Linked DNA regions of Danio rerio. The protein of the gene in region 1 purifies or fractionates together with the protein of each later gene. This does not show direct contact. Links are inferred from orthologs where the notes say so. Each region holds a gene or a part of one and is shown in the gene's direction. Other genes may lie near its edges.

Region 1 (4,155 bases):
TATATATATATATATATATATATATATATATATATATATATATATATATATATATATAATTTATTTATTGTTTTATTTATGCAGGAATTTGTATATTTATTCATTTATCTAAATATTTATTTATTTATTGTTTTATTTATGGAGGAATTTGTGCATTTATTTATAGTATTGTTATTATTACAATTTTATGGAGGGCGAAACCTACAAAAACAATAAATAAATAAATACGCAAATGTATAAATAAAGGAGTAAATAAATCCATAGATTTCTGCATAAATAAATATATAAATAGTTAATAGTGCAGGCAAGCAAATAATTAAATAAATTACAGGAGGGGAATATAAAAATGCTACACTGAAAGTTTTTTTCTAATAAACGTTTGAGAGAGGGGATGAATAAACTTTCAGTTTAGCATTTTCTTTTTTTCCCGTAATTTATATAATTATTTGCATGCTCGTTCTATTTAAATATTTATATATGCAAAAACAATTGTGGATTTTTTATATACATTTATTTATATTCGTATTATATATTATTTATATTCATTTATTAATTTGCAAATGTTGTTTATTTAATGTTTTATTTATGCAATAATTTATGGATTTATTTATTCATTTATTTATATATTTGCATATTAATTTATGTAATGTTTTATTTATGAAGAATTTATTTATTTATTTACTAATTTATTTATATATTTTATCATTTATGTTTGCATTTTAATCTATTTAGTGTTTTTGCAGGTTTCAAAGGTTCAAAGATAATTAGGACACTGAAATGTCTCAAATAAATTTAAAGTGAGAATGAAATATGTTTACAAGCATTTTTTTACATTATTTTTACTAATCACTTCTGTTTAAATCAGATTTCAGATTTTTATTCATATTTCTCTATTCTCTATTTGATATTCACTCTTATTTTACATTTTCATACTGCGATTAGTGTTTTTGCAGTTTAAAAAAAATCTTACACTTTGCTAATTTCCATGGCTGAAGGGAGCTAAAATTAATCAAAATTTCATAAACATTATGCCGCCCAGTATGATGCGCAAGTAAAATAATCAACTAGCAACATGGATCTATAAATAGCCTCAGCGCTCAACCCCCATTTTCTATCCGGGACTTTTATTTTGAAACGCAGACACACATCTTTCAGACCAAATGCGCCGTTGAGCGGTAGGGCCTATTTAGGGCTTTCTAAAGTTAGAATTAAAACCGTCGGGACTAAGGAAAAACATGGCCCTTTAGCTACACGCAGTTATGAATGTTTGATGGTTATTTGCGTGTTTTATTAGGCAGGAATCGTGCTGTTTTGTAGGCAGCTCGTCGTTTTCGCGGCCGTTGCGGAGAGGGATTGTTATGACGTTCTCTTTGTCTCGCGCTGCACAAACCCGAGACCATATTTATCTCTGTAAGAGCCTTTTTTAAACATCCCGTCGAATCAAGCTACTCCTAACGACCTAATTCTCTCTAGCTGTCGCCGATCACTGGGATTGAAGCATGTCGTTGCACGGTAAACGAAAAGAGATCTACAAATACGAGGCGCCATGGACCGTCTATGCTATGAACTGGAGCGTCAGACCCGACAAGCGCTTTCGGCTCGCGCTCGGCAGCTTCGTCGAGGAGTACAACAACAAGGTAAACACCTGCTGCCACACAACACTATGCTTTATGTCTGATCTTATGACACACGCTATCATTTCACATAGTGAAGTGTGTAGCCTAAAAACATGTAAGGTGCAGGTTATTCCACAGTGTTGGAATTTTAACGCGCAAATGTATGACAGACACTAATAATTGTATATTTTAAGCGACTGTTATTTTGTATCTTGTATTTAGCGTGTGCGAATTAAAGGTTACGAATAGGTTCGTAGAGGACAAAATGTCTGTCTAAAATTCATAATAGAAGTATATCTAGGGCTTTCAAAACCCTTTCACTGACAGATTTTTCTGTACCACCCGCACCAGTCCTGATGATAATTGTCAGAAAATGCAATAATTTTAGACATTTCATTTAATCATTACCACTGTTTTTTTGTTGTTGTTTTTTTGTGGGAAAATAAATATAGACTCTTTTTTTATCATCAGTCCCATGTCAGTGACCAGAAGAATTCATTTAAATACAGCCATTTTATTGTGCTTTATCACATAAAAAAATCTACCACTCACATGTACACTTCACAGCATATACTTACAAACACTATTCATCCCTCCACACACGTAGTTATGAATACATAATATTATATAAATATCATATCGAATCACAATATTATATAATATAAATAACAATGATAAGCACTGGACTTTTTTACTCTATATTGATCTAAGAGCCAATCACACAGCAGAAATGTGCCACAATGGGAATCTGAAAGTTTGATGATATTAGAGCTGTACCATTTTTTCGGCTACTGAAATCGCTGTGCGATTAATCGAATTGCAATTCGAAACGTTGCAACAAGTTAATCGCAAGAGGCTGCGATATGAAGTATTATTTAGCTTCCCCCGCTGAAACTGTCGTAGTAGCTTGACAGTCTTACTAGCCAATTGAGTGAGCACACTTTCATTCTGCCTAAACAGAATTGCACAACCAAACTATGCCGAAAACCCTCAATAAAAAGGAAACAAACAGCAAAATGCAGGAAGGTGGGAATATGGCATCTGCAACTGAAGTATTAATAGAAGAATTCATATCAAAGAAAAACAGCATGTCGTGATATGGGAATATTTTAGTTTCAGTCACAGACACGGAACAAACACAGGTCATTTTGAAGAGATGTCGCAGAGTTGTTGCCACAACTTACAAATTATTGAGCTGAATCTTGACTACAAAATTAAATCAAAAATAAAATCGCAATGTCTGTCAAAAAAATTGCAATTGGGTATTTTCCCCAAATCGCACAACTCTAACTGAAAATTTATCAGCTGAAAATATGTTATGCCATTTAATGGACCCTCTAATATTTTGTGGCTTCAGTCATTGTTGGGGTACTCTTTTAAATCTGGAAGCATTATCAACTTGTATCGTAAAATATATATTGTCATCGTTTAATATTGAAAATAACTATTGAGGTTGCATTTGTGCCATATCGTCCAGCCCTAATTTAATCAGCAGTCTTCAAAGCAGAAAATGGAAGGTAAATATATTTGGTTTTTTTTAGATATTTGCTCCACAGGTAACCGAAAAACACATTTTTGGCACAACATATGGTGCTTGCAGTCACAACCAAAAATGATCACAAAAATAAAGTGGGAAAATATATAATTGTCTATAAAAATGAAAAAGGTGCTACTTTCATGCTGTCAGAAACTTATGACATCATGCTATTTGTTTTGTGATGTTCAGGTCCAGCTGGTTGGTCTTGAGGAGGAGAGCTCAGAGTTTGTATGCAGAAACACTTTTGATCATCCGTACCCCACCACCAAGATCATGTGGATCCCAGACACCAAAGGCGTCTATCCAGACCTACTGGCAACCAGTGGAGACTATCTGCGCATATGGAGGGTATGCAGGAGGAGCACGTGCACAGTTTCTGAAGTGCCCCTATTATGCAATATTAAAGTTTGCTCTTTTTGTTTTGGAGGTCTTCTATAATAAGTTCATCCTAGATCAAGAATACACCTGTCATGTCATAATATGCAAAGCAGTATTTTGTCTTACATGAAGCACCTGAATCAGTCTGTTCAAAGATTCAATCTCTCTAAACCCCTTCTTTCCAAGAGTCTACCTTGTTCTGATTAGTCAAATGGCTTATTCTGTTTACAACAGTGTACTTTTGAATTTAAATCATATATGACCATATCTGAATTTCAGCTCTTGTATACACACTGATAAAACAATAGTGTCAGTTCTACCATATCCCTTGCAAATTCCTAGTTTTTTTTTTTTTGGAAGTGATTGCATAGTGGATCAAGTCTTCTCAACATGGCTGCAGCACAAACTAAACTGTTCCAGGCCTCATACTACAGCTTTAAAGGGTCCGAGTAAACTGAGTGTTTGTTGACACTTAATGAAGACTGTAGGCTGGCGTTATGTTAATCTCTTACAAGCCAGTGGAGCTTTGTTCAGGATATATCAGGGATTACTGTTGTTCACGATAAGACCAGGAATGTGTATTAAGAGATAAATGGAGTCAATTATGATTTGATTCCAGCTTGA
Region 2 (4,267 bases), on another chromosome or scaffold:
AATTGAGAAATGAATTGAAAAACACAAAATGATCCACATTAAAAATCTGATTTATATATCTGTTTTTATACATTTCTAGTTTTTATTTGATGAATAATTAAAAAAAAAAAAGCATAACTGCAGATATCAACCATATTTAGTCAACTGAAATCAAGTAAATTTAATGAAGTATATTTTTACTTAATCACTTTATAAATCTCATGATTGCTCAAACTCTGTCCACATTCATATCTACAGAATTTCTAAAATAAACAGTACTAAAAAGGTTTTTAAAACAAGTAAATTAATTTGACAGGCATAAACCACTTTCAAATGCATGTTACTTGTAGAAATGGTTTGTCAATAAGCATACTGGCACGTTTATCAACAAAAACCAATCCTAAATGTAGAGGGCAAATGTGGAAAAGCAAATATGCCATTACTTGATGAGGGTTTATTATTTTTAGAACATTATCATAATTTAACATACTAAACACAAGTATTATTTATATGCTTTTAAACAATAATTAGTTAATTATTAAAAATTATTAATAATTATTATTCAATAAAATATATTATTCAAAACATAAATAAATTCCAAAAGAAGGTTGCATAGCATATGATCATTTATGTTCAATTAACCTTTTTTTTCATTGAAATGTTTATTTATGAGCTTCGTTTTTTTAAAGGAACCTCTGTATTTACATTTTGTGATTGTGAGAAGTTCTTTTAGTTTATTACACGTATGTACTGTATGATATAATGAAACAATTTACTTTAAATATGACCTAATCTGTGTACGTTTGTAATGTAAAAAGAATCATTATAATATACAGGTGCAAACGGAAATCAAGCAACCCTGATCATGTGAATGTTGCATAAGTTTTATAAGAGATATCCAAAAAGATATCAAAACAAGCTGTAGCTTCACCAAGTCTAACTTTAAAGTCATGTAGACCTCACAAAGACACTTCAAAAACAAATGTCGGTCACAAATGTAAAACGTAAATGATGGAGAGAGAAAAAAGTCACCTTGCTTTTGCAAATAACAACACAAACAGCCTCTTCGGTCATGTAACATACTGAAATCCACACTGGTGTGCTGTCAGAAGCATGAACGGGAGGAACAGGTAATCGGAAATTACGTTACCAACGACGAGCACATGGCCTTTCTCAAATACACAAGTTGTACGTGTGCACATACACAAATCAATTTTGTAACGTCTATTTGTTAGTCAATCTGCATGAATTATAAATCTGTACCCGCACTCGCGTTATTTGTTGTCGTTATCGCGAGAATGGAATAAACCATTAATATGCTTCAATTTAAAAAAATTATTTAAAGATTCGTTAATTGCTTTTTCTCCTTCATAATTGTCTTAAATGTTTAATATTGTTATTTAATTAGGGATTAAATGGTAATGTAATGTACAAAAATGTGGATGTTTTAACATTGTCAACTTGGTTTGGTCCGTCCCTCCCCGAGATTCTTCCAGAACTAGCCGGCAGATCCGCGCGGTGAGGTGCGCAGCTAGAGGATTAAATTCTCTAGTATAACATCACTTTTCATAACTGTGCATTTCTTTGGGGTGGAAATTAAACATGTCCGCGCTTGGGACTCTCGCCTTCGATGAATATGGAAGGCCTTTCATCATCATAAAGGACCAGGACAAGAAATCTCGCTTGACTGGCCTGGAAGCACTGAAGGTAACGTTACAAAAGCTAACGGGCTAATGGGCTATAACGGAGATTTTAATCATATCTGTAATCCAGAATACCGCATTTACTGTATACTGTAGATTGATTCTTTATGAAAACGTACTTCTGCAGTCTGACATGTTAAGAATGCATTCAGTTATTGCACATTTATTTGTCTAACGTGATCAACAATGTGCGCATGTCAAGGGATGGTCCATGTGCTTCCTCTAGTCTAGTCTAAAGACGTCGAGTCATAATGCGCAATGCCTTCATTCATTCATCAGACATGTCTTCATCACATTTTATTTGTGGCAATATACTTCAGTTGAATGTTGTTAATAAATAAGTAATGATGATAGCTATCACTCTACTTCCCCCAATTGTTTGATTGCATAAAGAATTGCAAAAAGCCAAACTTTTCTAAACGGACAGGTGCATGTTTTTGTTGTGTTTTTTGGGGGCTTGCAGTGTCTTGCCTTGTTTTATAATGATAGTTTCAGTTCTATTATTTGACAAAAATCCTATAAAGAGGATTGGGTTGTTATTTGAGACACGCCTTACTAACAAATTTTTAGTTTATATATACATACATACATATACATTAAATTTATATAAGATATTCTACCAGAAATGCACATTATCTTTCCCTTAAAACCGTAAATTGCCATTCTTGCCTACCCATTTGAGCCTCCCAAGCCCAAAACCAAGCATAAGCTTGGCGTGGCATCTACTGACATCAATGTTATTTCTGTTCTCTTCAGTCTCACATTCTTGCAGCAAAAGCAGTTGCTAACACCCTGAGAACATCGCTAGGTCCAAATGGTATGTTTTTAATTTTGCATGTACTCTTCCTAGTTTATTTCATGCTGTTTTTTTTAATGCTGGTAAATGTTCTTTACAGGACTTGACAAGATGATGGTGGATAAGGATGGTGAGGTGACCGTGACCAATGATGGTGCGACGATCCTCAGCATGATGGATGTGGACCATCAGATTGCCAAGCTCATGGTTGAGCTCTCCAAGTCTCAAGATGATGAAATTGGAGATGGAACCACTGGTGTTGTTGGTGAGCTTAGCTTGATATTCTTCTTCTCCCCTTTTAAAACACAACCACAACACTAGCAAGAGCATTTTCTTTCTGTCTTTGTTTAAATGCATTGATTTGCTCGTATATAAACATGGATAAATGTACAGCCTTACAAATACATTGAAATGCACATTAGAAAAAATTTAAAAATCCTCTTTTCCAAGCTGTGTGTACATTTTATGTGCCATTACAAAAATGAGCATGTGTGCATACTGTTCTGGAGATGATATGCTATGGGAAATGACCCAGCTTATACAAAATCTAATAATAAAAGGTCCTTTTACAGATCTAAGTATGATATATATGCTTTACTTTAATATGATATATGGATGCTATTTACAATATTTATACTTTATGTACAATATACAGCTGAAGTCAGAATTATTAGTTCCCCTGAATTATTAGCCCCCCTGTTTATTTTTTTGCCCAATTTTTGTTTAACAGAGATAAAATTTCTAACACCACAATTTCTAACAAATCTCTAACACATTTCTAAACAATAGTTTTAATAACTCAATTCTAATAACGGATTTATTTTATCTTTGCCATGATGACAGTAAATAATATTATACTAGATATTTTTCAAGACACTTCTGTACAGCTTAAAGTGACATTTAAATGCTTAACTTGGTTAATTAGGTTAACTAGGCAGGTTAGGGTAATTAAGCAAGTTAGTGTATAATGATGGTTTGTTCTGTAGAGTATTAAAACAAAATATAGCTTTAAGGGGCTAATAATATTGACCTTAAAATATTTTTTTTTTAATTAAAAACTGTTTTTATCCTAGCCGAAATAAATCAAACATGACTTTCTCCAAAAGAAAAAAATATCAAACACTGAAAATTTCCTTGCTCTGTTCATCATTTAGTAAATAGAAAAAAAAAAGAAAAATTCAAAGGGGGGCTAATGATTCTGACTTCATATCTGAATATTATAGTAAAGCATATACAGTTAATCATTTCTTGTCAGGCTTCTAAAACTGCTAAACATTTTTCTAGACTGGACACTTTAATGGGGGAAAATGTTCTAAGATATAAATGTCACCCTAATTATTTTTTAATGAATTATTCTTACTTGTTTTGTGTTTACTCGTTATAGCATGAAGGACTTTAGTAATTAAATTAGTACAAGGCTAAATTGAATGTATAAGTAGGTGTATGTAGGTTTATACGCAAGACGTACTGTTTTGCTGTTTGAATTAAATTGTCAAGTAATTGATAAAAACCACTGGTGAAATAATATTGTAATCTTACTCCATATAGTGGAGAATGAAAAAATCATATTTAATGTTTTGTTTTCTCTTATTGCTGCATGTAGTTGTCAATATGTAATATGTTACTTTTATTACTGTTACTGATGTGACAAGAAATAAATCTTAAATAATGGTAAAAAAAAAAAAATAAAAACAATAAAATTGAGCAGGGTACATTTAAATGTAGAGAGAAAGAACAATTTAAAGCTGTATCACACTTTTACTATTGTAATGCTTGACATGTTGATTTC
Region 3 (4,285 bases), on another chromosome or scaffold:
TTTTTTAAAAGGTTAAAAAAAATCCAGTCCACGATTACTTTTTGTATTGAAAATACGTCATTTTGTGTGTTTTTCCACCAATCAGTGACAGATTTATGAATTTGGTAATTAGGAATTTAAACTGTAATTTCCTAAACAGTTTAGTAGTTTTGATCGGGACTGAGGTTGATTAACAGATTTATGGGAAAACATATTTATCTGATGCATTTTTACAGCAGTTTAAATTAGTGGAGGTTTTCATCCCAAACATAACAAAAGGGTAGCAAAATTGCCCAGAGTGTATCGTTAAGTTCTTTAAAAATGTCAAAGCATTTTCCAAAAACGTGTCAAAATTAAATTTGTCGCCAAAGTCGTTCTGCTAGTTGAAACAGAAAAAGTTGACCAAATGAAGACACAAAATCACCCCAGAGTGGATGAAAACACCCTCAACAGCACACAGGGGTTAACTGAAATGAGGGATGTGCTAGTAAAGGAGTACACATGGAGGAAAAACATGAATTGGTCATCTGTCACTGCAGACTGATGGATAAACCGACAGGCAACAAGGACTGTAAACACTGAAATCGGTGTTCCCATAAGTCTTCAAAATGTCAGGGACAGCGTTTTCAGAGACGTACAAATATCTGACGTACCTGATCTGATGTGATTCTTATGTGCTGAACGGCCAGGTTTAATGGTGAATCTGAAAAAATGAAATATTAATTTAAACAAGTGTTACGGACTTCCTGTCATGAGTTAGTGTTTCAGATGAGATTTTCTGCTTTTGTAAAATACACACTACTCCTGTTGGAGAAAACTCAGGACAATACCAAACACATAAAGGCAAACACACACATACACACACAAACATTAATGAATGCCCATGAGCTTTATAAGGATTTGAGCTGTGTACATTTTCTTCACTTTTTAACTGGTGTGTATTTTTAGTGTTCAATGTCTACTGAAATACAAACCTATTCTAATACTTAACAATGAGGCTTAAAATAGTTGAAATTTGTGCACCACATGCATTGACAATGAATAGTTTGTTAATTGATTAATAAGGATTTACTCATGTTTACATACTAATCAAATACATTCCCTACTGAAAAATCAGTTGACCAGCCTGGTTTTAGAGGGGTTTTGGCCATTTCCAGGCTAGTTTCCAGCCATTTCCAGCCTGGTCTTAGCTGGTCAGGCTGGAAAATGACCAGCCAAATCCAACTAAAACCAGCTTGCCCAGCCTGGTTTAAGCTGGATATAGCTGGTTTTGGCTGGACTCCCAGCTTGGCTAGGCTGGTCAAGCTGGTTTTAGCTGGTCATCTCCCTTTTTTTTTAAGGTAATGTTAATACATGCTGTATAAATGCACTGTTAGTTTATTTAGTCGACGTTTTATTTGTTAAAGTATAACAAATGACTGTAGTGTGTAATGGAAAAAAATCAATGGTAAAAGTCCTTTTAGTTGCGTCCGCTTGACCCGGAAGTTTTCCTCACCCTCTTTTATTGTCAACATGGCGGTGAATCTCACTGAATTGTCTCTTCCACAATTAGAAGGCTTGAAAACTCAGCTTGATCAGGTAAATTGTGTTAAAAATAAAAAACATCATCGTTTCGTATGTCCGAGTAGCATCAGGTGCTGCTGTTTTTCTGTCAGTGAATTAATTTACTGACGGGCTGCGGTTGTCATGCTGTCTGTGCGCGTGCTGCTGCTGCTGGTAATGCGGAAAAAAAGCCCTCTATGATTGTCCACATGGCTGCATTTATTCCGTATGACAGAAAATGAGATGCAGAATGACTTTATCGACGTTCACTTGCATTGTATGTGAATGGTGTCTCAGTCAGTTCTCACTAAACACAACTTGGTTTTATTTTAACGAGTTCACAGTTTGAAATATATTTTGGTACCAAGTCTATAATCTGTATAAGATTAATTTAAAAGACTAATTTTGTTTTTCTGTGAGTAAACTTTTGAAGTTTACATGTGTCCTGATTATCTGTTTTATTTTGACCGTCATATTTATTTTACTGTATTTTACAGAAGACCCCAACAAAAATGTCATAACAATAGTTTATATATATTAAAAATTCTGGGCAGCCATATTTTTAGACCAAGATTATTTTGATGGCATTTAACTATTTAAAGGTTGAACTGTAGCTCCCAAATTCTAATTATTTTTCTTTTTTTAAACATGCATAATTTGTCACTATCCTTCAAACCCTTTATTTTACTAATTTTTACTTTTAAGGTTTAAAACCTTGACTATTCCAAACCTTGCCGGTTTACCTTGCAAACAGTTATCGCCCCATACCTAGTACAGAATAAGTACTATGTTTTTCCCATTTTTAAATAAATATATATGTTGCTCTGAATTACCCTGACATTATTTCCTAAATTATTATTATTGTTAATTATTTGATAGATTTTCACTCATTTTTTGATTTTATTTTTACAAAAGTTATTTGAAACATTTAAGTTAACACTTTGCTTGCGTTCAGTGTGCTTTCTGTGAATATAAATGCAATAATGTTAATTTACTTTGAGACACCAAAAAGGGACATCTCAAGGTAGATTTACACGTTATTTTGTATAAATTGCTTAAAAATGTGTTTTCTAGGAAACAGAGTTCCTGTCATCGTCTATAGCTCAGCTGAAAGTCGTCCAAACAAAATATGTGGAGGCCAAAGACAGTTTGAATGTGCTTAACAAGAGCAATGAAGGTGACTTTTAAAACTCTTTTATGACGTTTTTAGCTAAATCTGACGTTTGCTAATTTTTTTTTACTTTTTCTCTCAGGTAAAGAACTACTCGTCCCTCTCACCAGTTCTGTATCCTCTAAACAGCTGAGTTATAAATGAGTTCTGATTGATTTATGCCACATAAGAAAGTCACACAGACAGTTTGATGTGTGTGTAATTAATTTGCAGTGGTCCGTTATTCCCTTAACCTCAGTCATGTAGATGTATGTACCTGGAAAGCTGCATGATGTGGATCATGTGTTAGTGGATGTGGGAACAGGTTATTTTGTGGAGAAGGTGAGTAAGAATCAGTCTAGTAGTTTTAGTATATGTAAAAATGTCAAAACTGAGTAAATCACATTGCCTTTTCTGTCTTTTCAGAATGTAGAGGACGGCAAAGAGTTCTTTAAACGCAAAATCGACTTCCTTACTAAACAAATTGAAAAGATTCAGCCTGCTCTTCAAGAAAAATATGCCATGAAACAAGGTGATTTTCTTGTCTTTTGAAAAACATGTTTCTTATGTTCACCATAGCTGATAAAAATACAGTACATTTTTATTGTATTTCTTTTTTCACTATTTTCAAGTAAGCCTGTCACAATAATCAATATAACGACTGAGCGTACAACACATGGACATGACCTCAATCATTTTTGGTGATGCAATATAAATCACACATACATAAAGACCAATTCTGGCAATATTTTAGGTGTTTGTGCAACATCTCTATCTATTGGAGATGTCAGTATGGTTAAAAATCACAATTTTATTTACTATAGATTACTGTCGTATATTTTCATGTGGGTGTCTAACAACTGAAAATAGATCTGGGGTCCGTTCTTCGTACCTCGCTTAAATGATATAAGATGATTTGGCAGATCCTGGATCTTTTCATCTTGATAACTGATCTCTGGCTAATTTGGTTCTTCAAACAAGTTTGCGAATCCGATTAGAATGTCTGGATAAACTGATCTGAGATCGCTGCATGTGTTGTGAAGGACAGATCCATCGATCCTCGAAATCATGATCAGCAATGCAACGATTGGCTGACGGCACAGCAGCGTAATGACATCATCTGAATAATATTCAATTATCCATGTGAGCAAAATTACATCAAACAAGCAGTAAACGGTTTGTTGTGAGCTGCAGGCTTAACACTTTCATGTGTCAAGAGTATTCATTATGTATTTTAAAGCATATCAATGTATTTAGTTCTACATTTAGAGAAGATTTTCTTTATTATAGTAGCTTAGGCCTACTCAAGTTTTTTTTAATTGGAGTAAGGAATAACTGTATGAATTAATTTTCCATCAAAAAAGCATTTTGATAAAGGTGAAGGTGTCTGCAACTTTTGTGAAGCAACATATCACCGGCATATTGGCGATCACAACATGTGCATGACTGCATAAATCAGTATCCTTTTTTTAAAAAAGTTGAATATTGTGCATTTGCATTGTATTTAAAAAGTTCATATCAATACATTTTCTCTTTGAACCACCAGGTGGCAGTCTTTGTACTTATTTCGGAGTGCAGATTGCATAAGTTTTATTTATCTATATATTTCTTAAA
Region 4 (3,226 bases), on another chromosome or scaffold:
TATTTCTGCAAACGTGGCGAGTGCTTTATTTTAACACGAGAGCCCATTCATGTACGCAAATCACTAAAACAGATATGCGAGCTCTTAAATAGGCTTTTTTTCAAATGAACTGCAAGTCCTCTCATGATCGCCTGTGTGCTCAGATTGAATACAATCGCGATCTTTCCACTATTAAAGTAGACATTATTTATCTTTGCTCCTTGACTAAATTTAGTCAAAAGTATTTAAAGTTATGAAGTATTTAGAAATAGATTGATGCATGATCGATAACAATGCTAATGGTCTTCTTATTTGGCTGTGTTGTCAAGTGAAACTTTAGCAAAGGTGGAGCTTTTTTGTTTCTTTACGACAAAAGAATTATGCTGGAAATGTTTCTGGATGAGGTATATGTGTGATTTATACATTTAGCTGTATTCTGATCTGTCCTAAAGCATTACAGATCAAAGCAATCCATTGTTACTTATTGTTTATTTATCAAAATTTACAATAAGACTCTTAAAGCACTGCTTTGATAAATGTATTGTTGTCACATTTCAAATACCTCAAGTAAAATAAAGTCATTTGTTTTATTTTTTACTGACAGTGTACTTGTATTTTTTTTACGTTTCTATTTTAGATTAAGATCAAGTGTAAAATAAAATCTACATGTGATGTACAGCTATTGAAGAAACAAATTTGCCATATTGTAAAGAAAAATAGTGTAAAATATGTAAATAAAAGGCTAAATAAAAATCTTTTTACCATATACTTTAACCTTTCAAAGCTTAAAAATATATTTTTTAAAAAATGGGCAAAAAGTGTCTCTATGGCCTTAAAGATTATTTGGTAGTTTTACCAGTGCTATTGAAAAAGATTAATTGTCATGAAAGGAAAAATCGACCATACTTCCTTTGTTAGTGCATATTCCTATACACGTAGCTTTGGGATTTAAGCAATCAAACCATTAAATCAGGTTTACACTTAAAAAAAGTGATTTCATAATGAAAATCTGATTTTTTATTCAAAAGTAACCAACTAGTACTTTTTAAAAGAGTACTTTGTACTTTTACCAAATATTAGCATTATTTACTAAAAATGTTGTTATTTTAGCAGTGCAATAGTATTTTTACTTGAGTACAAAAAAGATTTCACAAGCATTTAGTGCAGGTTTATTATATTATTAATATATGATTAATAAATATTATTTTTAATGTTTTTTATTTGTATCTATTCCTATGCAATATTTTATGGGTTGCATACAGAATACATTTCAGGTCTTCAATACATAGCATGTCAGTCTTGAAAAAAAAGAAGGTTCTGGAATTCATTTTCATTAGGCTGTGCCTGTATGAACCCTGTCATATACATTTAACATATATTTCAAGATTTGTCTGAAAGTGTAGCAATATGACATATAGCCTATATTTATAAGGTCCAAGCAGCATTTCCAGCTTTTGATGAATAGGCTACTATGAATACTTCAGATTTAAGTACAGCAGTTTTCTTTTTACTTTTTAAGAACAGCGCCATTTTTTAATGAATTTTTAAAAGCACATTTTAACTAAAACTTTTTTTTTATCTGCAAGCACAGTTAATGTTCAGACTATTTAAAATGTTTAAAGTGACTGACAATAATACATATTCTTAATAATAGGAAGTAATCTGCATCGTTTTTAAACTGTGCACACCTGTAGCTGCTTAATTAGGCCTACGACGCTATTTTTTAATACTGGTTAAAAAAATAGCGTCGTAAGGTGGTACTTGGAGAGACGATTTTTTTCTAAGGTGGTACTTGGTGAAAAAAGTTTGAGAACCACTGGTCTAGGGGGTCGAATCTTTTTTCACAATCTTTTTTCGATTAATTGTGCAGCTCTAGGCTGTAACATAAAAAATGTGGAAAAAGTGAAGCGCTATGAATACTTTCCGGATAAGTAAATAAACAAGTTTCCAGATAAATGGCCTCTACTTGTCTTTGCTTTGCAGAAACAATTCTTTTTTCAATTTATACTAGCCCAATGTCTGCTTTGAACCCTGTTTGCTGATCTCCTGTTATCCACAGGAAGCTCTGCAGGAAGAGATCAAGGCTCTGGAAGGTCGCGTCTCATCCATACAGGGGGTCCTGGGAGATTTAAAGGTTCAATTATACGCCAAGTTTGGAAACAACATCAACTTAGAGGCGGACGAGAGCTGAAACCTTTAGCTGGTGGACTTGACCTCATAGACTGTCCATCTCTAACAGGACAGGACATTTCTACAAATCTTGTCCGGTTTACTCCAGTGATGTCTGTTCAGTTTCACATCTTGTTACGTTTAATCAAGTTCTTGAGGTGTTGCATCCAGGTGGTTTTTGGGGGACGAATGAAATGTCCAGAATGAGAGAATTGAAAGGCACTGATGTCAAAATAAAAAAAAGAAGAAACATTTTTTTTTATGAGTTCCTTCAATTTGGGTTCAGTATTGAGGTGAATGTTTCTTGTTGGCACAGTTATAGTGTTTTGAGCAAATAGCAAAGGATGCATGCAGTGCTTAATTTGTAAATGAACAATTTCCAGAACAATACCAGGATATAAAAGTTACTGTGACCGGCACCCACCACAATTTCAGGTTTCCAGGAACATGACATCACTAAACGGTGATAGCACCAATGGTGATCAGTTTACTAATACCACTGACTTTCATTTCACTTCACTATTATGTGACAAGTGGAAAAAAAAATTAAAATACTCACCGTCTAATCTTCAAGAACAGCCCACGGTTACCTCTTCCATCCTGTTTTTTGCCTGACTTGATTGCTTTGCTTCTGTCTCCCGCTATCCTGATCCAGGGATGCAGTTCCATCTTCCAGAGATCTTTTTTTAATCAGGCTCATTATTAGATTTACTGTTTTAAAAACATACTTCCTCTTTGCCATTTTGAAAATACAAATATAATTTAGGTAGGCCACTATCCCATTATTTATTTTTAAAACAGTAATCATCAACCAATGAGAGTGACTGTAAATGCAAGAAAGCTGACTGGTCAAAAATATTGTTGAGGGCCAATAGTAAAACATGCCTTCTGCTTTAACTTTGGCTTGGTGACGACCTTTATGTGTGTGGGTGTACACAATCCACACAGCGTTGCTTTGTGTTTTTCACTGGCACTCATTCACAATCTCTCACACACACAGATGCAGGTATTCACTAAGCACATGTTAATGCCGGATGACTCAAAATATTACTGGAAGGGAATTTTCCGGAACAGGATC
Region 5 (4,215 bases), on another chromosome or scaffold:
AGAAATACATTTTTCACTAATTAATGTAGTATGATGAGGGGTATTTTGTATTATAGATGAAAAACGCTATAAAAATAGCTTTAATGCATTGATGATAAATCATTGTGCTTTCTAAATTTCAAACCAGACTTGTGATTTCAGATGATTTAATTGAAATCTTGTCTGGCCAGTGCACTTCAAAAGCACTAATGTTTATAAATTAGGTTTTATTTTTGTTTGTGTGCAGCTCTCTGAGCGCATTCGACCACATGAGCATTTACACTTTGAAAGCAATCCTGTCTAATGTGTTTTCAACTGCCTTTGAAAGTGGCTGAAAGTGGACAAGCTCACAACATTTCAGATTTAGCAATGTCAACTCATGATTGGATCGACAAAAAAAATTTAAAAATAATAATAATAGCAGGCAAAAATAGTAGCAAATAGGCATGGGATAATAACCCTTTACCGCAGTTTGGAAAAGTCAAGGTTTTAAAACCGCAAACAAAAAATCTGTTATACCTTTCCTTAAGTGTTTTTTTTACATGTTTTACAGTTATTTAGTTTTTTAAGGGCAGCAGTAGCTTCAGCAAAAAAGGATCCTCCAAATCAAAAGCTACTAGTCAGCACATGATTCAGCAAACAGCTGAGATACAAATTGCTTATAAACCAACATCCAGCATCTGAACAGTGCAGTGGCTTACTTACTTCATACTCAAAGTAAAGACAGATATCCAAAGATGCCTTTTCAGGTTGTAAAGAAATCTGTGTTGTGTTAACTAATAAATAGCAGAAGTTAATGATTCATTTTAATTATTTAGCTTGACATGTTTACAATTCTAAAACATTTTAAATGTTGGTAAAATAAAATATATTGTGTTCAAGGAATAAAAAGTTGTTGGTATTTTTCACAGAACATATTTTAGAGCAGTAATCACAATAACGTCACCGTGAAACCTTTGTTATCGTGACCATTAGTGTTATCATGACCATTAGAATCTTATACCAGCCCATGCCTATTAGCAAACAAATAAACAGTGTAAAGTATAATAGAGTTGAAGATTGCAATAGATTGTGAAAACAAACAAGATACTATTGATTATACTATAGTTTTTATTATAACTATAAGTGTTTACATTCAGCAGTAGTATTTAAATGTAAAACTACAAAATAAATACCAGTAAAAAATGGCAATAATATATCAAATAAATGGTAAACCGGCATGCCACAGCCTTTGCGTGTTTTGACATACAACGATCAAACACTTGGCCAGCGGGTCCGGAGCGAGTCAGAGGAAAGAGGAGGACAGTCTCCGCCTCTGTTGTGCCTACCCACTTATTACCGATGCAGATGCATGTGATTGGACGGCGGCTGAGCGCTTTGAAGTTCTCCCTCAGATCTCCCGTACGAGCACAGTGTATATGCGTACGGAGGGTGTAGTGAACACACACCGGAGAGCGCACGGACCAACGGAATGCCATTATTTGACACGATATTCTGCCTTGTTGTTTGTTTCTTTTTATTTTAAGACAAGTACACAATACTTCTCATATTTGTCAAGTCGTCGTTTGCGCGTAAAGGACTCGCGATCCTGCTGGGGTTTCGAGCAACACCGATTCGGTGACGGAACGATGTGGAGACGGAGTGTACGTTCTTCTTCATAGACACTGTAACAGCTCTCTTTCTCTGGACTACAGGCAGAGCTGATGTTTCAACTGGATATTTCACGGGATATAATGTCGTTTGGCTCTATACTGAAAACACTGGATATCTCTAAATGAAAACTGAACACCCGCCCCGTCGCTGCCCTCGACAGGTCTCTGATCCGCCCCGATCCAGATGAGCGAACTGCCTCCTGGATTTGCAGTCAGTCCACGGAACCAGCAGACCTTTAAAAGTCATTACATTACCAACGATAGTTCGCCCACTTGTTTAGGACTCCAGGTCGACTCGATCGCCTCACTGCCGTACCGTGATCCCGCGCGTCAGGAGAAAAGGCTGCCTATACGGATTCTCAAAATGTTGACCGCTCACACAAGTCACATACTTCACCCAGAGTATCTCCAGCCGCTCAGCTCGGCGCCCGTGAGCATTGAGGTACGACTTCTAAACCATTTGTTTCTTACTTCTGCGAAGTAAAAATATATACATTACATTTGTATGTGTTAGAGTTGCGTGTTTGTCCTAGTTTCTATAAAGCGAAAGGGTGTTCTCTTTATTTTGTGCCCGAGTCGTGTAGTACACGCAATATTTTGCGTCAACGTTTTTTAGCTCTAAGCTCCATGTTGCGCGGCTCGTTTTAATATGTAATTCGGATTTAGCCGAAAGATCCTGAAAGCGATTCAGCGGCAGTTTGAAGAAATAGTCCGGATTTAGATGAGGCCGTGCTCTGGCAACATTTTAAGGTTTCACATTTCCTTAATCGCTACTGACGTGCGCCTTTACTGCTCTTAGGTGGTTAAAGCTTCCAGCATCTACGTGCTTTTTTGGCACACAAATGGAACTTTAAAAAAGTAAATTGTGCAATCTTTTTAATAACCTGTATAAAACTCTGCATGCTCGGCACACTTTGAGTGCTGCAAAAACTACAACAATATGTCAAGTGATTTAATTCACCCTTGACATGCAAATTAACATCATTTAAAATAAAATTTAATATCCATGCGAGTTTTTTATGATGATGATGTCATTTATAAATAATCCAAGCGTAAATAGAATTATTGCATCTTCCTTGAAATATGACATATCACTGAGGGCATGCCAAAAAATTGGTCTATAAATGAAGTGTCATTTTGTTGGTGGTAAGAAAACCAAAATCATTCATTTAAAATTTCTTCTTTTTTTCCCATAGCTGGATGCTAAAAAGAGTCCCCTAGCATTGCTGGCTCAGACCTGCTCTCAGATCGGAAAGCCAGATCCTCCTCCCTCCTCTAAACTGGGATCCCTCTCCTCCAGCAGCCATGGAGACAAGGACAGCCGCTCCAGCAGCTCTAGCCTGAAGTCTGGGGAGCATCAGAACCTAGATGACAAGTCCAGCTTTAAGCCTTACTCTAAAACTGGATCAGAATGCCGAAAGGAGGGTGCTGGGATCAACAGCTCAGCAGATAAAGCGGGGTTCAGAGTGCCAAATGGCAGTTCTTCATCTGTGACGTGCACGTCTTTACCTCCGCATGCCCCATCTCCACGGGCCAGCTCCCCTCAGCAAACATCTGGACAGTCACACACACACCGGCAGTCTCAGTCTCCTCTTTCACAGAAAACAGCACATCTACAAACCACCCACATGGACTCCAAAGCTGCAGGTTCAGACCCAGGGAATGACAGCAGCAGCAGTGGTAGTGATCGCAATGGCAAAAAAGATTCGGACCACAATAAATCAAGCCTGGACGTTGTACAAATCGCCAACTCCAGTCATGCACGTGCTAGTGTGAACTCTAGCAGTGCCAGTTCCTCCAGCAGTCCTCAACCGGACAGTAAGACTGACTCCCAACCCCCTCAGCCCAGCCTGGGCACAGGCCACATCGCCCCTGTGTCACCCTTCAAACCAGGCCACTCCGTTTTTCCCCTCCCGTCCTCCACCATGGGCTACCACGGCTCCATTGTCGGGGCCTATACCGGCTATCCATCTCAGTTTGTGCCTGGGTTGGATCCAGCGAAATCTAGTTTAGGGATGGGTGTTCCAGGAAAGCACCCCAGCTCCAGTCCTCTCACAGGGGCCTCACCTCCCTCTTTCATGCAGGGCTTGTGCAGGGACCCATATTGCCTGACCTACCCCAATGCACCCCACCTCGGGGGCAGCAACTGCTCTTCCTGCGTTCACGATCCATCATCAGCCCTTAAGTCTGGCTTTCCTCTAATGTATCCCACCCATCACCTCCACTCACTCCACCCCAGTTCTCTGTCCTCTAGTGCCACCTCATCTCTGTCCCATCCTCTGTATACCTACGGTTTCATGCTGCCCAATGAAACACTCCCTCACGCCTGTAACTGGGTCTCAGTGGGTGGCCCATGTGACAAACGCTTTGCCACCTCAGAGGAACTCCTGGCCCATTTGCGTACACACACGGCTCTGCCAGGTGTGGATGGGAAGCTGCTTTCGGGCTATCCTTCTTCTGTTTCCTCTGCTGCTTCCTGCCACCTCCACTTGCCTCCTCCTAGCAGCCCAGGGGCACTTCCAAGTTCCCTGTCCCTGCGAGGGTCACCTGGTCTAGGTTTGGCAAGGTATCACCCCTACGGGAA
Region 6 (4,125 bases), on another chromosome or scaffold:
ATGGTTGACATTTGCATGGAATTGCTCCATAAATTACCTTGCAGACACTTTTTCTATCTTTATCCATTAACGTTACAAATGGATTCAGTACAAGTTAGCCCTTGGTTTACCAATTCGTTCATATGACAGACATTCTGTAATAGGCTTGCAGTTGCATTACTAATTTCAGAGATCTTTCTCACCTAAAAGCCAAGCAATAATGTTACCCTTACTAAAAAAAATAGGTGACATTTAACCTACAAAGGTGTTTTATTGCTTTGACGAAAATGGGAGGTGAAATGAAGCAAAACAACATGTCATGTGACGGTCTGCTCTTCAGATTGCTCAATCTGTACTTTAATGAGGAATTAATAAAGATCAAGTCGAAAACTACATTTTACCGAAATTACAGAAAATGCGAAAATCTGTAGAAAGCAAAACATTCGAGAGAGAAACACGAATTTAGACATCAACTAACAGGTAATTACAGAAAGGCACACAGCTGAATAACAGAAATATGACACCCCTAAAGAAACACACGAGGCACATAATAAAAGGTCTGACTGAGACTTCGCGTTGTCAATGTTTTTAAAACGAAAGGTTTTGTAAATAGCTTCAGGCCCCGGTTATTCAGTTACTGTCTGTTACATACTTAACGTTTGTTTTTTTAAAGGACAGATGTATTATTAAACTCACCACAGTGACAAACTTTAGCGTCCTCTCTCCACTGGAAAGACTGAAAGCAAAGAGAAAGGCAACAATCACAAAACAGGAATCCATACTTGCGGACGAGCGGATGAGGCACAGTACAGTAACCTCATTGAAAGATCGTTGCCTGGCTGTCGTGGCTGATAAACACAAGACGAGCTGCAAGCTTTTCCGGGTAACGGAGAGCTGCCATTGGTCAATGTGTTCAGCAGCTTCAAAAACACGAGCAGTGATTGGCTCTCACGAACGGAGAAGGACTTGGAGCAAAACAGCAAACAATAGTTGATTGTTTTCTCTTTGTTTAAGGTGCATGACTTCTCCGTCATTTGAAAAAAAAATTCTGAATGAAAATCCCCTCTTTTGTTATTCAATTGGTATATATGTTTGACTTAGTTTATGTGTAATCTAACATTTAGCAAGACTGAATATGTGAATAAAAATTATTTGATCACTTAACTGCCCATGATCAAATATAAATATAGGACAACGGAATGTGAATGTAAATATAACTTGGCTGTTTAGCACAAGATTTCATCTTGACTGGTTCATCTGTGTTTTTTTTTTTGACAGATCAACCTGATTGGCTGGCTCATGAACGATGTTTTCGGTAATTGATTATGAAGGATCTGTGCTCTACTGGCTTTGTCTGGACTCGTTTTGGCAGGACACACACAGCAACAAATCTAAAGTACACACGACCCACTTTTGGGGGAAAATAAAAACATTACAAAAATATTCCTTAAAGAAAATCTGAAATATTGCTAAAGTTTCACCTAACGTACTTCCGCTACTACATATCTACAATTTCATGGATTAAAATCGGACAAAAATAAGAGGAAAAGGTAGGCCGAACCTGAGACCATGAGAGGTGTTGTTTTAAATTTATACTGAACAAAAGACTCCTAATTTAAACACTATGTAATTGTGTGGATTGATACTTTGCCTCGCATGTAAATTAGCTTGCTAACTGCTAAATGTTAAAGCTGTAAAGTTAATTTCTTTATTAAAAAGTAATTATTGTAATTTAACGTTAACGTTATAACCTTCACTAGTTGCTTTATTCTGTGACAATGAATTTACTGTAATGAGTGACACTCCTTTTATTGCAGGTTAAACTTAACTTATATATGTCTAACGTTAGCTGGAGTCAAACATGAGCTATCTTTGACCTGACGTGCTATAGTGTCACAAAACGTGTAAAGCTTTTCCACGTGTTTTAACCCTGTTATTTTGGTAATTGCATTCCTGTAAATAATAACTACGTATTTATAGTAGTCTTTGCATTTTTGATAGTTAAACTATGCATTGTTTACCCATGTAATAGTTTTTGTTTGTTTTATTTTTTAATTTATTAATTTTTATTTACTGCTTAATTCTTTATTAGTAGAACTGAAATGGAAATATGGTTAGCTTTTATTGTAGTTAGACTCGTCATTGTGTATTGTGTATTAGGTATTGAGGTCTCTGTTCAGTTAGATTGTTGTGTGAATATCTTTTAATGTTGTTACTATTTCAATTTTTTAAGTAAAGCATACACTTTAAAAGTATGATTGTGTTCAGTATTATGTTGTTTGAAGAAAAATACACAGTGTTCATTAACTAGAATTAAAAGTAAATTTCAAATGTATTCAATGTTACTTTTGCATAGCTAAAAAATAACAAAAAATAAATTACCATAGTTAACTTGACATACTTTAAGTTGACTTAAAGCCTGTGTGGAAAACCTTATGAAAGAAAAAGTAAACTTTTTGTTTAATTTATGTTTAATTAATGATTTTTTTCTCTGTCAAGGTGTTGGCTATGAAAGATGAAACCTTTATTTTTTTTAAATCTATAAATTAATAAATAAATACACAAATATATAATAAACGAGTAAATGTATATAAAAATCCACAAATTCCTGCATAACTCAATCAGGCAGGTACAAAATTTAATAAATTACACGAATGTTACGGGAATAAGAAAATGGTAAACTGAAAGCTCCACCCCCCGCCCCCTCCCAAATGTTTATTCATTCTTGATTGTAGTTATGTATTTACCTTTCCTCAGTAAACATGCTAATGAGACTGGTTCTGTCAATCATCAGAAAGTGGTCTTCATGCCATTATTGGTTGATCGTTAGAAAACATTTGCTTTTCATTAAAAAAAAAAAAAACTATAATTTTTTTTTACTGGCTTCTGATGATTGACTGCTCTATTAATTATTTATACATTTATTTATGCAGAAAGTTTATATATATACACATTTTTTTTGCTTATTTATTGTTTTATTTATGCATGAATTTATGGATTTATTTACTCATTTATTTGCGTATTTATTTATTGTTTTTGCGTCCTCCATAGTTGACTAATTCATCATAAGACAGGGTTTATACAGTCATGGAAAACCTGGAAAAGTCATGGAATTTTGACATGGCATTTTCCAGGCTTGGAAAAGTTATGAAGATTAGTTTAACAAATATCAGTATACTTAAATTAGGGCTGCGCGATATTGGAACAATCTGACATTACAATATTTTGTATTTCTGTGATATGTTGCGACGAGAATATAATTTCACCAGATGATTTAAAAGTTTTATTTTTGATTGATTGGGGTGGGGGGGGGGGGGGGGGGGGGGGTTGTTAGAGAGTGAATCCCGAATAATATATAACAAATAAATTACAAGCATAGATAAATAAAACATAGTCAAGATAAAAGTGAATTATAGTTTTCAGGTATTCACTATTTCGGTACAGATATTGAATAATTAACACTGCATAGTCTTCGTTCTATATTATTTAATCTTTAATTTAGTTACCAAAAAATTTCTTTTGGCCCGATTTTTAAAAAATTGAAATATTGAAATGTTTAACAGTCACAGGTCTTAAAGGGACAGTTTACTCAAAGATTAAAATGTACTTACTATTTACTCACACTTCAATTGTTTCAATACTATATGAGTTATTAGGTTATATTATTTTTGTCTTTATTTAAAAAAAAGAAAGCTCATAAATGTTTAAAACAAGTGAAGGGTGTAATAAAAATGGTAAGTAATTTTTGAGTGAACGATCTCTTTAAAATGCATACAGATGATAAACTTTTAGTTCATTTTGATTAAACTCTAAATTAAACTATAATCCCATCCCAATATTGCATATCCTGCGATGTGACTATTGTGAATGCACACATTACTTTATCAATGCTAAAACAATATATTGTGCAGCCCTAACTTGAATATAGGATAGTTGTTTTCTTTTCTGTCCTTGGCCAAAATATTGTTCTCACATTGTTAGTGCTGTGCAAGCTTTATCAAAAAAAATCAATAAAAAAACTAATTTAAACAAATTAGTTAGTTGCGTGTTCTATAATATGCTGTTATAAATTTGAACGTTATTGTTTTTCTTATTATTAATCATTTATTTTTAGATATTACATGAAATATTATGTCATGAAAATGT

What was found.
Region 2: the proteins of dcaf7 (region 1) and cct5 purify together in Homo sapiens (affinity purification with mass spectrometry; 4 studies listed by BioGRID and IntAct, counting the BioPlex papers as one, with this or other methods). This does not show direct contact. The link is inferred for Danio rerio from reciprocal best matches to the Homo sapiens genes DCAF7 and CCT5.
Region 3: the proteins of dcaf7 (region 1) and pfdn5 purify together in Homo sapiens (affinity purification with mass spectrometry; 3 studies listed by BioGRID and IntAct, with this or other methods). This does not show direct contact. The link is inferred for Danio rerio from reciprocal best matches to the Homo sapiens genes DCAF7 and PFDN5.
Region 4: the proteins of dcaf7 (region 1) and pfdn4 purify together in Homo sapiens (affinity purification with mass spectrometry; 3 studies listed by BioGRID and IntAct, with this or other methods). This does not show direct contact. The link is inferred for Danio rerio from reciprocal best matches to the Homo sapiens genes DCAF7 and PFDN4.
Region 5: the proteins of dcaf7 (region 1) and znf703 purify together in Homo sapiens (co-immunoprecipitation; 5 studies listed by BioGRID and IntAct, counting the BioPlex papers as one, with this or other methods). This does not show direct contact. The link is inferred for Danio rerio from reciprocal best matches to the Homo sapiens genes DCAF7 and ZNF703.
Region 6: the proteins of dcaf7 (region 1) and ambra1a purify together in Homo sapiens (affinity purification with mass spectrometry; 3 studies listed by BioGRID and IntAct, with this or other methods). This does not show direct contact. The link is inferred for Danio rerio from reciprocal best matches to the Homo sapiens genes DCAF7 and AMBRA1.

Annotation. Positions count from the first base shown.
Region 1 is NC_133178.1:30,506,885-30,511,039, forward strand, and holds the start of dcaf7 (DDB1- and CUL4-associated factor 7), read left to right. Parts: upstream 1-1,355; 5' UTR 1,356-1,499; coding exon 1,500-1,637; intron 1,638-3,342; coding exon 3,343-3,501; intron 3,502-4,155. UniProt on the Homo sapiens protein: Involved in craniofacial development. Acts upstream of the EDN1 pathway and is required for formation of the upper jaw equivalent, the palatoquadrate. The activity required for EDN1 pathway function differs between the first and second arches.
Region 2 is NC_133199.1:20,773,283-20,777,549, forward strand, and holds the start of cct5 (T-complex protein 1 subunit epsilon), read left to right. Parts: upstream 1-1,467; 5' UTR 1,468-1,581; coding exon 1,582-1,686; intron 1,687-2,438; coding exon 2,439-2,499; intron 2,500-2,578; coding exon 2,579-2,743; intron 2,744-4,267. UniProt on the Homo sapiens protein: Component of the chaperonin-containing T-complex (TRiC), a molecular chaperone complex that assists the folding of actin, tubulin and other proteins upon ATP hydrolysis.
Region 3 is NC_133181.1:42,215,187-42,219,471, reverse strand, and holds the start of pfdn5 (prefoldin subunit 5), read left to right. Parts: upstream 1-1,485; 5' UTR 1,486-1,491; coding exon 1,492-1,557; intron 1,558-2,595; coding exon 2,596-2,698; intron 2,699-2,774; coding exon 2,775-2,806; intron 2,807-2,938; coding exon 2,939-3,013; intron 3,014-3,097; coding exon 3,098-3,203; intron 3,204-4,285. UniProt on the Homo sapiens protein: Binds specifically to cytosolic chaperonin (c-CPN) and transfers target proteins to it. Binds to nascent polypeptide chain and promotes folding in an environment in which there are many competing pathways for nonnative proteins.
Region 4 is NC_133198.1:41,416,738-41,419,963, reverse strand, and holds the end of pfdn4 (prefoldin subunit 4), read left to right. Parts: intron 1-1,804; exon of another isoform or gene 1,805-2,038; coding exon 2,039-2,170; 3' UTR 2,171-2,726; downstream 2,727-3,226. UniProt on the Homo sapiens protein: Binds specifically to cytosolic chaperonin (c-CPN) and transfers target proteins to it. Binds to nascent polypeptide chain and promotes folding in an environment in which there are many competing pathways for nonnative proteins.
Region 5 is NC_133180.1:24,988,491-24,992,705, reverse strand, and holds the start of znf703 (zinc finger protein 703), read left to right. Parts: upstream 1-1,415; 5' UTR 1,416-1,815; coding exon 1,816-2,073; intron 2,074-2,827; coding exon 2,828-4,215. UniProt on the Homo sapiens protein: Transcriptional corepressor which does not bind directly to DNA and may regulate transcription through recruitment of histone deacetylases to gene promoters. Regulates cell adhesion, migration and proliferation.
Region 6 is NC_133182.1:39,574,568-39,578,692, reverse strand, and holds the start of ambra1a (activating molecule in BECN1-regulated autophagy protein 1A), read left to right. Parts: upstream 1-1,325; 5' UTR 1,326-1,529; intron 1,530-4,125. Other genes in the region: acp2 (lysosomal acid phosphatase precursor), read right to left, coding at 676-759. UniProt on the Homo sapiens protein: Substrate-recognition component of a DCX (DDB1-CUL4-X-box) E3 ubiquitin-protein ligase complex involved in cell cycle control and autophagy.